Macaca mulatta: one gene and its partners. Each later gene encodes a partner of the first gene's protein in a complex. Links are inferred from orthologs where the notes say so. Each region holds a gene or a part of one and is shown on either strand. Other genes may lie near its edges.

What was found.
Region 2: the proteins of TUBB4B (region 1) and EFHB are in contact, whole or in part, in a cryo-EM structure (PDB 7UNG), measured with the Homo sapiens proteins. The link is inferred for Macaca mulatta from reciprocal best matches to the Homo sapiens genes TUBB4B and EFHB. Residues at the interface, in NP_006079.1 of Homo sapiens: Asp26, Glu27, Asp31, Pro32, Thr33, His37, Gly38, Asp39, Ser40, Leu42, Gln43, Thr55, Gly56, Gly57, Lys58, Ser78, Gly79, Pro80, Phe81, Gln83, Leu215, Lys216, Leu217, Thr219, Thr221, Asp224, His227, Pro243, Gln245, Phe270; in NP_653316.3 of Homo sapiens: Tyr523, Gly524, Val525, Gly526, Leu528, Ile529, His530, Asn531, Arg532, Tyr537, Arg539, Asp542, Arg545, Ala546, Ala549, Ala550, Arg552, His553, Lys556, Tyr608, Asn624, Phe625, Trp628, Asp630, Lys631, Thr686, Leu687, Leu688, Ser691, Asp692.
Region 3: the proteins of TUBB4B (region 1) and CFAP107 are in contact, whole or in part, in a cryo-EM structure (PDB 9CPB), measured with the Bos taurus proteins. The link is inferred for Macaca mulatta from reciprocal best matches to the Homo sapiens genes TUBB4B and CFAP107. Residues at the interface, in NP_001029835.1 of Bos taurus: Lys19, Glu22, Asp26, Tyr36, Asp39, Ser40, Asp41, Leu42, Gln43, Leu44, Glu45, Glu53, Gly56, Gly57, Tyr59, Pro80, Leu215, Leu217, Thr219, Thr221, Tyr222, Gly223, Asp224, His227, Leu228, Ala231, Gly244, Gln245, Phe270, Pro272; in NP_001033296.1 of Bos taurus: Thr74, Val75, Glu76, Gly77, Leu78, Tyr80, Lys81, Leu83, Ile84, Thr85, His86, His87, Gln88, Glu89, Gln92, Arg93, Tyr94, Leu95, Ile96, Ser97, Thr98, Asp101, His102, Pro133, Pro138, Thr139, Asn140, Tyr141, Leu143, Tyr144.
Region 4: the proteins of TUBB4B (region 1) and PACRG are in contact, whole or in part, in a cryo-EM structure (PDB 7UNG), measured with the Homo sapiens proteins. The link is inferred for Macaca mulatta from reciprocal best matches to the Homo sapiens genes TUBB4B and PACRG. Residues at the interface, in NP_006079.1 of Homo sapiens: Glu194, Phe260, Pro261, Arg262, Gln291, Phe294, Asp295, Ala296, Arg306, His307, Gly308, Arg309, Tyr310, Val333, Lys336, Asn337, Ser339, Tyr340, Phe341, Gln375, Ser413, Asn414, Asp417, Ser420, Gln423, Gln424, Tyr425, Gln426, Asp427, Glu432; in NP_689623.2 of Homo sapiens: Glu40, Gly41, Phe42, Thr43, Val44, Ala46, Met47, Met48, Val53, Arg54, Gly55, Pro56, Pro57, Ala58, Ala59, Gly60, Ala61, Phe62, Arg65, Lys154, Arg160, Arg162, Arg191, Gln192, Pro195, Asn198, Ile199, Phe200, Asn202, Met203.

Annotation. Positions count from the first base shown.
Region 1 is NC_133420.1:5,222,978-5,227,174, reverse strand, and holds the start of TUBB4B (tubulin beta-4B chain), read left to right. Parts: upstream 1-1,379; 5' UTR 1,380-1,390; exon of another isoform or gene 1,391-1,740; intron 1,741-2,566; exon of another isoform or gene 2,567-2,930; intron 2,931-3,195; exon of another isoform or gene 3,196-3,930; intron 3,931-4,104; exon of another isoform or gene 4,105-4,107; coding exon of another isoform or gene 4,108-4,197. Other genes in the region: RNF224 (RING finger protein 224), read left to right, coding at 726-1,184; SLC34A3 (sodium-dependent phosphate transport protein 2C), read left to right, coding at 4,108-4,197. UniProt on the Homo sapiens protein: Tubulin is the major constituent of microtubules, a cylinder consisting of laterally associated linear protofilaments composed of alpha- and beta-tubulin heterodimers.
Region 2 is NC_133407.1:28,644,572-28,648,133, forward strand, and holds part of EFHB (EF-hand domain-containing family member B), read left to right. Parts: intron 1-344; coding exon 345-525; intron 526-3,562. UniProt on the Homo sapiens protein: Microtubule inner protein (MIP) part of the dynein-decorated doublet microtubules (DMTs) in cilia axoneme, which is required for motile cilia beating.
Region 3 is NC_133406.1:227,946,578-227,949,629, forward strand, and holds the end of CFAP107 (cilia- and flagella-associated protein 107), read right to left. Parts: intron 2,365-3,052; coding exon 2,187-2,364; intron 911-2,186; coding exon 729-910; 3' UTR 509-728; downstream 1-508. UniProt on the Homo sapiens protein: Microtubule inner protein (MIP) part of the dynein-decorated doublet microtubules (DMTs) in cilia axoneme, which is required for motile cilia beating.
Region 4 is NC_133409.1:9,423,157-9,427,247, reverse strand, and holds the start of PACRG (parkin coregulated gene protein), read left to right. Parts: upstream 1-1,243; 5' UTR 1,244-1,422; coding exon 1,423-1,578; intron 1,579-4,091. Other genes in the region: PRKN (E3 ubiquitin-protein ligase parkin), read right to left, coding at 846-852. UniProt on the Homo sapiens protein: Microtubule inner protein (MIP) part of the dynein-decorated doublet microtubules (DMTs) in cilia axoneme, which is required for motile cilia beating. Suppresses cell death induced by accumulation of unfolded Pael receptor (Pael-R, a substrate of Parkin).

The DNA of each region.
Region 1 (4,197 bases):
GAGGGTAAGGGTGAGGGAGGAAAGGGGAAGGGAGGGAGAGAGTAAGGAAGGGGGAGGGGAGGAGGAGAGGAGGGGTGAGGGAGGTTTTGAGCGTGAGGAAGGGTGTGAGCGTGGGGAGAAGGCCTGAGAGTGGGGGAATGGACCGCAAGGCCAGCCTGGATGAGGTGTTAGCAGAAGCTGGCTGGGTCTGGACAGGAGGGGGTGGGCAGGGGCGGGGGGCACCTTATCTCTTGCAAGTGGGCGGTGCCGTTAGATCTAGTTTCAAGGCTTTGTGGCTGAAACGGGAGCCCACGCCCGCCACAGCTGGCCACCTGCCTCTCTCCTGACTCCCGTGCAAGGCCAGTAATGCAACCCAGGAGAAAGCCGCAGGGCGCCCTGGGTCCCCACCCCCTTCTCCGGCCACCCTGTGGCTGTGCATAGCCGCCCAGCAGAGCCCATGCAGGTAAGAGACCTGGGCTCAGGTTGGCTGGGAGGGTGGGGGCCCGGGGCTGGGCCAGGGGGGTCCTGCGGGAACAGGAGCCTGCCCGGCTGGCGCCCACATGAACCAGAGGTGCGCAGACCCTGGTGTCTGCCTGTGCCCCGGTGCCACCCTCCCTCCCAGGTCTGCATGCACCAGCCCCACAGACCCAGCGCCTGACCTCTGGGGTGGGCTCCTGGGGCCAGCACCCCATCCAGGCAGACGGTCCCCAAGGTGGGATGTCCACTGCTGGCTTCCCTCTGGTAGGATGCTGCAGCCAGAGGGCCCCCAGGCCTCGGAGGAGGGGGGCCCCCACAGGAGAGACTGCATCATCTGCTGCTCAGCCTATGACCTCTCCGGGCACCTGCCCCGCCGCCTCTACTGCGGACACACCTTCTGCCAGGCGTGTGTGCGGCGACTGGACGCCCCAGCACCCGAGCAGCGCTGGATCCCCTGTCCGCAGTGCCGCCAGAGCACGCCCACGCCTCGTGGAGGGGTGCCCATGCTGGACCTGGATCTGGCTGCTTTCCTGGCGGTCAAGGCTGAGCGGGAGCCGGCAAGACTGGAACCCCTACCCCTCACCTCCCTCAAAGGCAGCAGCATCACTCAGCAGCCAGCTGGGCTGTGCCCTGCCCTGGGTCCCCAGCCCCACTTCCCCCCTACCAGATACTGCTGCTGGGGCTGTGGCAGCCTCTGCTGCCCACCCCTAGGCAGCCCTGAGGTCTGAACTCTGGCCATTCCCACCCCTGCAGGGGAAATGCCTGCCTTGGAACCCCTGACCACGCACCATCATGGGCTCAGCCCACTCAGAGCAACCTGGCGGTAGCGTCCCGTACGCAGCTCCGTGGGGCCCAGCAGGGTGGTGTCATCCCAGCTGTGAACATCCCAGACCGCAGCCTAAGGTTGGGGGCTGGGAGGTTCCGCAGGAGGCTAGTGACCTCCCACCTGTCCTGGCCACAATTACCAGACCCCAAACTAGCCCGATCGGGTGTGCCTGGTGAGGACACTGCTGACTGGGTGGGTGGCAAGCCCGGCTTGGGCCTAGATGCAGCGCAAAGGATGGCTCCCAAGAGGACGCAAAGGCCAGAGCCGGAGGCCTGGGCTGCAGGCTGGAGGGGTAGGGCCGATCCAGCTACGCCTTGCGAGCTGCCCAGAGCAGGTCTCGCCTCTCCCACAGACATCCCCAGGGTGTACCAGGAGGGTGGCGAGACCACCTCCTTCCTCCCTGCCCTGCACGGCAGCCCTGTGAATTCACCCGCTCAACAAAGCTCATGGAGTTCCCACTGTGTGTCAGGCGCAGCTCCGGGAGGGTCTCGTACAGGCACGAAGCCGTGAGGGCATTGAAGAGGACGTCTCAGCGGGGCCTGCTTGAGGTGTCACAGCCCACTTGATCTCATCCTTGGCTAAACCTTTCCTGGCTCCCGGCAGCCACCACACAGACCCTTTTGAGGGGCCGGGGCCGGGGCTGGGGCCAGAGACTGGACAGCAGTGACCACCAAGTCAGTGCTGTAACCCCCCACACCCACTGGAAGGAGCTGTCACTCGGGAGCCCCAGGGAAGGACTGTGGCCCCCACCCCCAGAGCAAGGGCGCAGGAGGGAGACGGAAGAGAATTTGTCGGGAGCCCCAGGGAAGGACTGCGGCCCCCACCCCCAGAGCAAGGGCGCAGGAGGGAGACTGAAGAGAATTTGCTGAGCGGACACCCAGAAGTTTCTACCTTCTCCAGGGCAAAGTCCCCACGCACACAGCGGGGGCTGGGCGGCAAGCAGAGCAGGGCACCAGCAGCCCCTAGGCAGGGTGAGCCTCCTCCGGGGGAGCTACCCCACACCCCGGGGCAGGAAGAGGCCCAGTCCTCCTAGGGGACACCCCACAGGCGCTCAGGCCAGCTGGGATTTCTCTGGGGAAAGCTGTGCGATGGGCCAGGCAGTGGGTGGGGAAGGTGGCCTGGGGGGCTCTGTCCTCCTCCCTCTGCAGATGGAGGCTGCCAGCTACACCAGGGCCGAGCCCGCTAACAGCCTGCTGGGCCCAACCCTACCCTGAACCCGGATCTGAACCCTCTGACCTCGGGCTGGGTGCCCTCCCTGGCTACATGAAAAAGCCCATCCTCCACCACCACCTGGTGCAAAGGGCTTCCTTCCCCTGCTCTGCCGGTGGCAGGGATGACACTAAGGAGGTCTGGGGAGCCCTGGCCGGGCGCAGTGGCTCACGCCTGTAATCCCAGCACTTTGGGAGGCCGAGGCGGGCGGATCACCTGAGGTCAGGAGTTCGAGACCAGCCTCAACATGGAGAAACCCCGTCTCTACTGAAAATACAAAATTAGCCGGGCGTGGTGGCTCATGCCTGTAATTCCAGCTACTCGGCAGACTGAGGCAGGAGAATTACGTGAACCTGGGAAGCAGAGGTTGTGGTGAGCCGAGATCGTGCCATTGCACTCCAGCCTGGGCGACAAGAGCGAATCTCAAAAAAAAAAAAAGGTCTGGGGAGCCCTGAGATGCATGGAAGTGGGGGGCTGGCGTCTCCCGACCCCCGGGCAGCCCCAGCCATGCTCTAGCATCCTGCCTGGCTGGGTGTGGTGTGTCTCTTGGGTCACACGGATGCCTGCTGCAGATGCCCAGTACCGAGGGCCGGTGTCCCGCCCTGCAGTGCCCTTGGCCTAATTCGGAGCCCACCCCTGGGAGAAGCCCCACTCTGGGAGGGTTGGGCTGGGGTTTGGAGGTCTTAGCCACAGAGTGACAGGACGGGGACGAGGCCTAGGGCCCTTGGGGCCGGGGGGAACCCCCGTGGGGACCTGGGCTCTTGGGTAAACATTAATGGGCTCAGTACCCAGCAGATCATGTGCGCGATCAGGGGATCTTTGACCTGCAACTGCTCCCTGCAGGTGCCCCTCACCACCCACACAGGTAGGAGCTCCTAAGGCCAGGCTGGGGCCCAGGGACAGTGAGGCCGAGGCTGGGTGGCCTCCAGGCCCAGGGCTTGGGCCCCATCCTAAGCCTCCAGGACCCAACGGCAAGAGACGCCAGGCTTGGGCAGCAGGAGGGAGGGTGAAGCAGAGGACGCCTGGACCTGAGCCCAGGGCACTAGGTGGAGGGGTCCAGGTGGGGGACCCGAGGGGTGGGGTGACCAGGCCCAGGAGGCTGAGGAGGCAGCAGCTTCGGGGCCAGGAGCCTTGAGGCGGTGTGAGGACCCCACCTGCTCCCCATCACCAGGGTGTGGGGCCCTTATCAAGCCGAGACGTCACTGTTTAGTATCAAATGCCAAAGTCTAAGTCGGGACCATCCAGTGTCCCCGATGACACCTGATAGGAGAGGTCTTTAGGTTCCCCAGCTCACAGCCACTTCCAGCCTGAGCCCTGGAACCCTGCACCCTCAGCACTAGCCAGGCCTTACAGTCAGGACCAGCAAGGGAACCGGGGAGCCGGGGCCCCCTCGAGTCTACCCCTGAAACTGGACTGGGCTCGCCTGACAACTGCCTGAGGTCATTGTAGCCATCCCCCGTGGATGGAGGAAGGGAGGTGGTCACTGAGGCCTGCAGTGGGGAGGGAGAGAGGGTGGCCAAGGGCTCAGTTCAGGGGACCTGGGGCGTGAATCCAGCCTGTGAGGCCAGGGCTGGGGCACGGGGAAACGTCTCTGACACGTGCGTCTCCCCCAGCAGATCCGGGCCTGGGCCTGGGTCTGTCCCTGCCCGAAATCCATGCCGAGTTCCCTCCCGGGCAGCCAGGTCCCCCACCCCACTCTGGACGCG
Region 2 (3,562 bases), on another chromosome or scaffold:
TGATCCGCCCTCCTCAGCCTCCCAAAGTGCTGGGATAACAGGCGTGAGCCACTGCACCTGGCATCACTTGTCTTAAATATTTGAGTCGAGTAACCTGGAAGCTATCATCGTAAACCTTTTAGTATCACTGAAACCTTTTAACTCATTAGAAAGTTCTTCTAGGCATGTTTAAACTTTATAGCCAATTCCGACAGTTCATTTGAAGGTGAGCAAAGCCAGTGATGATAATGAAATGTTTTCCCACAATCGTACAGTCTCCTCTCCCTAGCTGTTGATTAGGGTTTCCATTTTCAGATTTGTACTATTTTTGTTGATGTATTTGTGCATTGTATGATTTCTTTTAGGCAAACACATTGATAAACCCACAGCCTATTACCACATTTCAACAGAAAATTAAAGATAAAAAAGAATCTATATATCTTAGCAATCGACGAGCACCATTAGGAAAATCTCATGATCAAGCACCAGGATTACCTAAAGGAATGGACACAATCAATACGACATTTGGGACAGCAATCATCAGAGGTAGTAAAAAAAAAAAAAAAAAAGGGGTGGGAAGGGGCTGGTAAAATAAGTTTCTTTGGAAAATTTGATCTCATATCTTATTTGTATGATGTTTGGTGATGGTGTAAACAATGACTCAAGAAGGAAAGATGGGATTGTAGCAAGAAAGTTATTCTCAGGGCCGGGCGCGGTGGCTCAAGCCTGTAATCCCAGCACTTTGGGAGGCCGAGACGGGCGGATCACGAGGTCAGGAGTTCGAGACCATCCTGGCTAACACGGTGAAACCCCGTCTCTACTAAAAAATACAAAAAACTAGCCGGGCGAGGTGGCGGGCGCCTGTAGTCCCGGCTACTCGGGAGGCTGAGGCAGGAGAATGGCGTAAAAACCCGGGAGGCAGAGCTTGCAGTGAGCTGAGATCCGGCCACTGCACTCCAGCCTGGGCGACACAGCGAGACTCCGTCTCAAAAAAAAAAAAAAAAAAAAAAGAAAGTTATTCTCAGAACCAAAATCCTTGACATGTATGTATGCAGAAGCAGGAAAAATTCAGGTATTGGAGTCCAGATATAGTGAGCATAGTAGGTATGGTGTAAAGACAGGAAAGTACTCAATAAAAATTGGCTCTGGGACTAGCTAGAGAACTGCAATCCCTTTGCCTTGGACATCCATTCGTGTGTTCTGTTTCCATCAGTGCTTTACATGTGTTCGTGACTCTGAACTCTTTATGAAACAGAGTTCATGGCACAGGTAAGTTTGGTAAATGCTGTATACCACACTCCATTCATGCAGATCCATGAGGTCTACGTGCATATTAACCAATCACAGGGCAGAGTGACTTCCACTCTGATTCTGAGGGGGAGTAGAGTACCATCTTTCAACAAATAACTCATTGGAACTGGTCATAGGCCATTCTTCCTTCTGAAGACCCAGGTTCCTGCCGTGTTGTTGGGTGCCTTTCTTTACACCTTTCTCAGATTTCTCTCCTTTACTCTTTTTGAGGTTATCCCCTCCCTCTAGGAGTCTTACCATAGGAGATCTCAAATTCCATCTTTCTTTATTTTTGTGGAGAAATTCTCTCTTTGTCTTTCCATACCCATTGAGGCTCTCTTCCAGGAACCTTAGCTTTGTTCACCGAAAGGCTCACTAGATTATTTTCCTTAAGGTAGTGACATCTACTCTGAAGATAGATTATACTTTGGAATGTAAAATCTGGAGTTGTACCTTATTACCTCAGATCTAAAGTTTTTTAAAATTTGACACATGAAAAATGTATTTTAGAGTAGATTAAATATCCTCTCCTTTTTATGTTTCATAAACATATGAAACATATATACTTATATTTATAAACTATATATATTTATATTTATATAGAGACTGGGGTCTCACCATGTTTCCAGGCTGGCCTCAAGCTCCTGGACTCAAGTGATTCTCCCACCTTGGCCTCCCAAACTGCTGGGATTACAGATGTGAGTGACTATTTCCCACCTCTTCTTTTCGATAGGTTTAAGAAATCCTATGTATATGAACTGTTAGACATGGCATTATAGCCATTATATCATAACTGCTACCTAGGATTAGTTTATTTAATGTGGAAAGTATTCTCTAAGTGTTCCTCATTTAAATATATACAAAGAAACAATGTTTCAAAACATGTATATATGTGTATCATTAAGTGTAATGTTCATATATCAAAAAGAAGTTCTGCTTTACAGGATTATTTTGATTGGAATCATCTTCTGATATTCTTAACTATTAGTTTATATACCTTAATTCTTGGCAGAAAGGCCAAAATAAAGGAAACTTCTTAATCTATGTTGTTAGGTCAAAAGGGAAGAGTGAAATTGTAAATGGAGTTACATTTACAAATTATTATCTAAAGCAGTAAAAACAAAATTATTCACTGTACACAAAACTGGGTACCACTAGTCATGGGAATGCAGCTATTAAACAAACATTTCTTCTAGATTTAGGACCAGTAGAAGAATTTCTCCCTGATTCCAGTGATTTCCCTGGTACCTCTGGCTACACTGAGGATACAGATTCATTTTTAAAAATTAATTAATTAGTTAATTAATTTTTTGAGACGGAGTCTCACTCTGTTGCCCAAGCTGCAGTGCAGTGTTACGATCTCAGCTCCCTGCAACCTCTGCCTCCCAGGTTCAAGTGATTCTCCTGCCTCAGCCCCCCGAGTAGCTGGGATTATAGGCATGTGCCACCACACCCGTCTAATTTTTGTGTTTTTAGTAGAGACAGGGTTTCACCATGTTGCTCAGGCTGGTCTCAAACTCCCGACCTCAGATGATCCACCCACCTCAGCCTCCTAAAGTACTGGGATTACAGACCTGAGCCACTGAGCCTGGCCTGGGAATACAGATTCAGATCCAAACAGACACAGGGTGTATGCTTCCATCTAAAACTGCCAAAATTTACACCATGGCTACCCCATAGGGCGTTAGGGGTTCTAATTTGTGGTTCAGATTTGTTTAGATCATCTTGAGAAGTCTGCAGCAAACTAAAATAGAAATTGCACAGAGATTCTCAGGACCAGGAATTTAACTGTGCTTGGAATATGGCTTACCACAACTAAACAGTTAACTGATAATAGAGTTCTTTTTTTTTTTTTTTTTTTTTTTTTTTGAGATGAAAGTCTCGCTCTGTCACCCAGGCTGGAGTACAGTGGTGCCATCTGGGTTCACTGCAACCTCTGCCTCCTGGGATCAAGTGATTTTCCTGCTTCAACCTCCCGAGTAGAGTAGATGGGACCACAGGCAAGTGCTACCACACCTGGCTAATTTTTGTATTTTTCGTAGAAATGGGGTTTCACCATGTTGGCCAGGCTGGAATTTTTTTGTGTGTGTGTTTTTTTTTTAGTAGGCATGGGGTTTCATCATGTTGGCCAGGCTGATCTCAAACTCCTGACTTCAGGTGATCCACCCTCTTTGGCCTCTCAAAGTGCTGGGATTACACGTGTGAGCCACTGCTCCCAGCCAACTGATAATAAAGTTCTAACATGCTTCAGACTTCTAGGGGGTGAGCCAGGTCAAGGGGGCTTCCCTTTCTT
Region 3 (3,052 bases), on another chromosome or scaffold:
AGTCCCAGCTACTCAGGAGGCTGAGGCAGAAGAATCACTTGAACCCGGGAGGTGAAGGTTGCAGTGAGCCGAGATCATGCCACAGCACTCCAGCCTGGGCAACAGAGCAAGACTCCATCTCAAAAAAAAGCAAACAAACAAACAAACAAAAAAAAGATTTGCGAGCTCAGAGACAGAGGAAATGCCATGTGTCTTCCCCTTCCGAGTCCCATGGGGCCAGAGCACGCCTTCCTCTGCCTTGGCAATGACAGACAAGCTGGGGTCCTTCCCCAACGCCAGCTCTGCAGCACTGCCCTCCTGGGAACCACATTCGGTCATTCTGTGGAGTTTTCACGATGGGTTTCATCATCAGATTCGTTTCCTCCATGGGACTAGACTCTTCAGCAAGTCTCATTACCTCTCCGGACCTCAGCTTCCCCTCCTGTGAAACAACAGGGTGGAACTTAAGGGCCCTTCCTGTTTTCTCTGACAGTCTGAATCTGTCTTGTGCACGTACATAGCCCAGCAATAGTGTCAAAGAGCTTTAATTGTGGGATGGAAAGAAAGGAACCTGTGGGATTTGAGGAGGGGACAGGTACCGCCAAATGCAGATGGTTATTCTGAGGGCATCCTTGACAGGCCGGATATTGTACTCTGAGTTTATCTGCAGCCGCTTGTTGTCTGGCAAGTCCAGGGATGCTGTGGGTCTCCAGTTGGTTCTATCTGAGCTGCTACTGGGGTGGCAGCTCTCAGAAGTGTGGGACAGGATGCAGGCGATGGGGAGGGACCGGAATCGCATATTCCCTGCAGGACAGAGCGCACGACGGAGGTCTGGGGTAGGATGAAGTGTACGTGCTCTGCTTCAGGCCAGCCTTGGGTGCGAGCCATCTCTGCTTAAGTTGTTCATAGAGTCCATAGTTTGTAGGGGGAGCTGCAAGAGAAACCAGGGTCCTGTTGAATGGGGCTTAGAGAAGGAGTCTTGCTCTAAATGGCCACGAGACTGGGCAGCAGGGGCGCTGGAGATTTTCCCAGGCTGCTCTGTCAGGCACCAAGGCCAGCAGAGCCCCAGAGGGAAGAAGCCTTGCAGAGAGCATTGGTTCAGTCAGCCCCTGGCGGTCTCAAGGTGCACCTGCATCCCAAGTGCTCAGGGGAGACCAGGCTCTGCCACGGGGGCCTTGGAGAAGTCAGCCCCCATGGTGAGGTTGTGCGTGGCCTCGCTAGTCCTGAGTAATTGTCCCACCCCTTTCGGGAAGGAAGCTGTGTGCATGGAGAGTGATGTTGAGAAGAATCCCATGCAAAAGTAATGCAGAGTGACCAGCAGCTCATCCTCTGACCTATGTCCCTTTGCATCAAAAGGTAGGACCACAAAGAGATGGCACTGCTCTGTGTCCTCATTAGGGTGGACGTGGCTTGAAATGTAAATCAGATCAAGGCACTCTCCTACAAAAATGCATTCCAGGTCTTGGGATTGTGGGTAGGACAAATTTCATTCCCTTCACTGTGCCCTGTGAGCCCCTACATGGCCCTCCTCCATTCCTGCCGTAGACCTTTTTCACTTTCTGTTCCTTCCTCTGGAATGCCCTCCCCATCGATCCCTGTATGGTTCCCTTCTTCCCAACTCAACTATCTCCTCAACAAAGACCATCCCTCACTTTTCCAAGGAGGAACGTGTGAACCAAAGGAGGCTCACAAATTCACCACCTCACTTTCTATCCATTACCTGTTTTCTCTCCATAGCACACATTCCGGTCTAAAATTATCTATGTGATCTTAAGTGTTCTTACTTTTTAGTGGTGTCTTACCTGTTTCCCCACTGGAATGTCAACTCCCCGAGGCCAGAAATTCCTCAGTGTTTGTTACCATTGCAGCAAGGAGCACTACCTGGGAAATATTGTCACTATTCATGTAGTAAATACGACTGGGAGGAAGGATGCGTGGATGCGCTCCCTGCCACCTGTGCTCTAAGCATGCCATCATGGGGCACAGGTGATGGCTTCATTACACAGCCAAGATTATCCCGTATCAAGGGGAGAGCACAGGAGGTAGCCCTGAGGGGACAATAGGACTCAGCCCCGACTGTGTCATCCACTGCTCTCCTGGAGCCAGGGCCACCTGTGTGGCTCCTTCTGCATAAGGCAGGTATAGCTGCATTGGTCTGTGCACCTTTACAGACCAATTCAGAGGAAAACCCTGAATTATAAAAATACCAAGAAGGGGGAAGTCAGACTTCTCTGGCAGCCACAGCAACTTCTGTCCATTCCAGGTGCGGAGCGGAGGCAGCCCCGGGTTGTAACCATGCCGGTTGTAATGGTCGTCATAGGTGCTGATCAGGTAGCGATGTGGGGGTTCCTGGTGGTGGGTGATCAGGTGTTTGTAGGGGAGCCCCTGGAAGGACAGACACAGTGGGCTCATTACTGATAGGAGCAAGGCATCCGCCTGGCCATGGTGGAGACAGGAGCTGCCACATGTAGGGGTCTTTGGCGCTAATGGAGAGAGTGGGCATCCATGGGCTGGCAAAAGGTCTTCAGAAACACACTTGTTTATCCCACTCTGAGGCATCCCACCTTCAAACACATCCCAGCTAGCTGCAGTCAGTTCTCTGTATGGCCGGTCCCATGCCAAGTCAATTCATTCCTAGAATGAGCTACGTTGGCACATTAAAATTAAAGCCAGGACATCCTGCTGAATGGGAAGAGTCAGTACCACCTCACTTGTGATCTGAAATTGCAGCCTATTTGTCTCAAGTCTCATGCATCCAAGCCTGTTCCTAAGGGCAAGGAAAAGATGGTGAAAGCCAGCCTGACGTGTGTGCCTTATATTTCAGTCTGTTACTGTGGGAAGAATCAGACAACACCCTATAAATTATCTTCTCCTGCACACGATTTACTGCTCGCTCAGTTGGAAACTAGGGGAGTGATTTCTTTGGTGAGGAGTAATTTACAGGGAGAAGAAAGCCATGTTCTCCTTTCTCTGGGATGTCTGCCTGATTCAGTGCTTTTCCTAAGAAAATCCTCTTGGGCCCAGAAGGGAATCCTGGGGAACTGCACTGATTTACAAGGGGGGATAATGTTGA
Region 4 (4,091 bases), on another chromosome or scaffold:
ACTTCCACAATAATGAAACCCCATATAGCACTGGCTTCTAAACATATGGTGCATTTCCATTCATTTTTAGGGACAGCCCCTAAAGTAGTTTTTGGTTCAACAACCCTGGAAGAGGACCTTTGCACCTTTGCTCATCTTACACATCAAGTGTTCATGAACAACTCTGATGCCACTAAGTTTTGTTCACAAAATTGCACCTCGGTCATTGTGTTTTACCAAAAAAAAACAAAAAAAACAAAGTTATTTTGCAAAAGGCAGTAGATGTAATCTTGGCTATTATTTACTCTCAATTTTTCTTTCACCTCAGCCCTCCAACGAGAAGTTTAAAAGGAAACATCCGAGGGAGCAAGAAGTTTAGATTCATCTGGAGGAGTTTCTGTGGCGCCCAGCCACCCTCACCAGGTGCCTTCCATTAGAGTTTAATGCTTTGCTGGGGTTTCCTGAAAGAGCCCCACAAAGAGTGGGTCTCGATGGGTCCTGAACCGCACGACAACTGGCCAGGGCCTCGAGGGCGAGGGGCGGCGGCGGGGCGAAGGCTTCGGGACCCTACACGGTCCGGGGGACCATGAGCGAGGACCGGGGGTGCGGGGCCGCCTGGCGTCCCCGGTGAGGCGGTCTTCACGGGAACGCTCAGAGCAGGGGCGGGCGGGCGAGGGCTTGGAACGCACACACTGGGGCCCCGGGCCCGCGTCGCTGAGCTGGAGAGCCCGGCGGTGCGGGCCGGGTACGACATGGGCACTTTGGCCCCGTCACTGACAGTTGGCACCTGGGGTCCAGGTCGGCCGAGGCCACACCGGGGCGCAGGGCGGCGCAGATGAGGCTGTACCTGGCAGGTACCCACGTACCTATCATGGTCACTGGGCAGGTGGCGGCTGCGGGCCAGGAAAGGGCCTACGCGCGCACCGGCGCCAGCCAGCGCCTCCCACCAGCGGCTCTCCTGGGTTAAATCTTCCAGGGCTCCCCGCCCCGGCGCCGGGCCCTAGGAATGCGCACGCGCGGAGGGTACGCGGCCCAGGGCCTGCTGGGAGTCGTAGTTTTAATGCGTAGTTTCTCCTCACGCCTCCTGCCCTCCAGCTCACCGCCGCCTCCCTTTCCGGCTTCAGGCCCAGCAATCGTACGTCACCGAGGGGCGGAGCTATGCGCCCGCAGTGTTGACCAGTCGCTTAGCAACCGGGAGGCTTACCTTTGGAAGCTTGTTGCAGCTCTAGCTACGGTCCTGCCCTCTTCCCGCCCCACCCCTCCCCTAAACTCCCTTCACCTAGGAGCTGCCAAACATCTGGATCAACCTGGGCACTACGAGGGGTTGAATTTCTACCATTAACGCGCCTTTTGACATTTTTTTCCCGACCTCCTGCTCACATCCGTAAAACCCACTGATTCTTTTACTACACTTTTTATGAGAACAAGACATTTTCTAGGAAGATGGTGGCAGAAAAAGAGACCCTGAGCTTAAACAAATGCCCAGACAAGATGCCGAAGAGGACCAAGCTGCTGGCACAACAGCCGCTCCCGGTGCACCAGCCTCACTCCCTGGTTTCTGAGGGCTTCACAGTCAAAGCCATGATGAAAAACTCAGTCGTAAGTGATCTTCCTGAATTGAATGCACTCGCTCCGTATCAGGGGACACGAGATTTACAGAGGTTGGCCAGCCCTAGGATGGACTCTGAGCCCATGTCCTGGGTGGTCTTTGCCAAAAATGGCAATTACTTGGCAAGTAGCAGACGGTCCCCCACAGTGTGTGGGGGGCAGGCTAGGTTGTTAGAATCCTGGGCAAATGATATACTCTGCCCATTGATAAGCACCTTCCTGATAACTCATCGTTTCTAAACCGCCCAAAATTACTCTTACGCTATTTACACGAGGTAAAAAGATCCCCTTTAATTACTGATTGCTAACTAACCCCACTCAGCAAAGGGCCTTACAGAAGATGAGCTCTTAGAAATCATAAACTCTTGCAAAATTTAACATGAGCTGATATACAACTGGGAACATAAACTCATTAAATAATCTATAATGAGAAATTTTGGAATATCCTAGCAGTTACTCTAACAACACTTGTCTCTTAGAAAATGATGTCATCTTGTTAGAGTACTGAAAGCCCACTTAATATGAACACTGTTTCCTGACAGGCCTTTTAAGATGATGTGCTTTAAACAATACAAGCTTTAGCTCATGTGTCTCTGCTACTAATACAATTCATATTTCATCTGCATTATTTGTAGTAACAAAAATAAAATATTCTAAGTATCATTAGAGGAAAAAAAGATTAAAAATACATACAAATATTTTAGCTGTCTGCATGATAGTATCTATTTTTTAAACCTTCCTATTTGTTACATAGCTTTACACTTGGTATGCTAAGGCAGATTTTGCTACTGAGTAAGCACCTGTCTGGGAATGAGGCATTAAATAATAAATGCAGCTTTCAAATTCATATAATTTACACCCTGGGAAGATCTGAGTTATTACATGTGGCAATTCATTATGTTAAATGAGTAATGTTGTTTTCCAGTGTCACATTATTTCCTTTGCTTATATGTTGTAAACCTAATAACTTATTCCTAAACGACATACTTAAAATACATGAATGAAACAGATTACCTATAGACCTCTAGGCCAGGTTCCCATGTGGTTATGCAAAATGATATCCTAATTATTGAGAAGTGTGTCAGGTGATTTACAGTAGTTAAAATTCTTGGAAATAGACTAAAATTCTGCTTGTTGTAACTAATTCTTTTTCATGGAATTTCACATAAATTGGTTCTCCTAGGAGTCAAGATGATGCATTTATCAGCAATACCATAACCATTCAAGTTAATAATTTAGTTTTCTTCTACACAATATTTACAATTTTGGTGTTTTTTAATGTTATAATTGAATATCACAATTTTTTTTTTTTTACTGGTCAGGGTTCTTTTCTGTTATTTCCTAAACTTGTGTTCATAATTCTTGTATCATGTTAATTCTTTAATATAATCCTACGCCTAAAGAGATAGTTCTGCAAAATCTAATGTTTCTATATTGCCAGATGTAGTAAATATGCCTACATGACTTTAAAAGAACCACATTGATTATGAAGCAGGCTTCTTTATAAAGAACTTATTTGTGATACATTATCTTATCTTTTTATATTCTAAAGGAAAATCTTGTGCTAGCAATACTTCTCTTGCCATTGGAAATCATAATTCTTAAATGCAAAGATTATTTATCCATTCATCTACTTATTCAGTCAACAACTCTCTCTCTCTCTTTTTTTAATACCCAATACTTGTTAAGCACAGTTCTGGGGATTTGGGATCAGCAAAGCAAAGTCCCTGCCCTTAGTACTCCAAGGTAAACCAAAATAACAACATTCAAATCTTGATAAAAGAAAGCTAGACAATACTGTTTATACAAAATAACTTCAGTGGTACAAGAAATAAAAATTTTCCATTTCATAACCAATATTTACATTTCACCATTTTTATCTTTAGCAGTATAGACTTTTCAGCATTATAAGATCAAAATATCCTCATCTCTTTCTGAAGGTGTATTTCGATTCAGGATATGTATGACAATTTCCAGCTTTTCTTAATTGCGACCTCATGCTCAAAGGCCAATACCCTCCAAACCACTTTTCCAGTTAGATAAGTCACCATTCCAATGCTCTTCCACTTAAAACATGAAGAATTTTATATATCCTAAGGAGTTACACAGAGACTCCTGATATTTCTTTGAGTGCAATAGTGATACAAGTACATAAACTTGATGATAAATATGTTTCATCAAATGGGCTGTGCAAGCAGAAATGCTTATTTAAACAGTCAGTCTGGATATGAGAGCGCAAAATTATTGAAAAATAATGATAAATGTAAATGGCAAAATTTTTAAAATCTCAATGTCAAGTATTGTTCTTCAATAGAAAGTAGACTTTGTTTCCATGAAATTTTTGTTGCATTCTATAAGAAAACAAGCATCACAAAAGCCCTGCCATCAAATAATATTCAAATTCACATTTTTATAGTGCTTGCCTATAAAGAGATGTAAGAGATACACAATTTGAAGATTTCAAAGTTCATTTTCCTTTTAAAGGCTTTATTTGGGTTGCGATA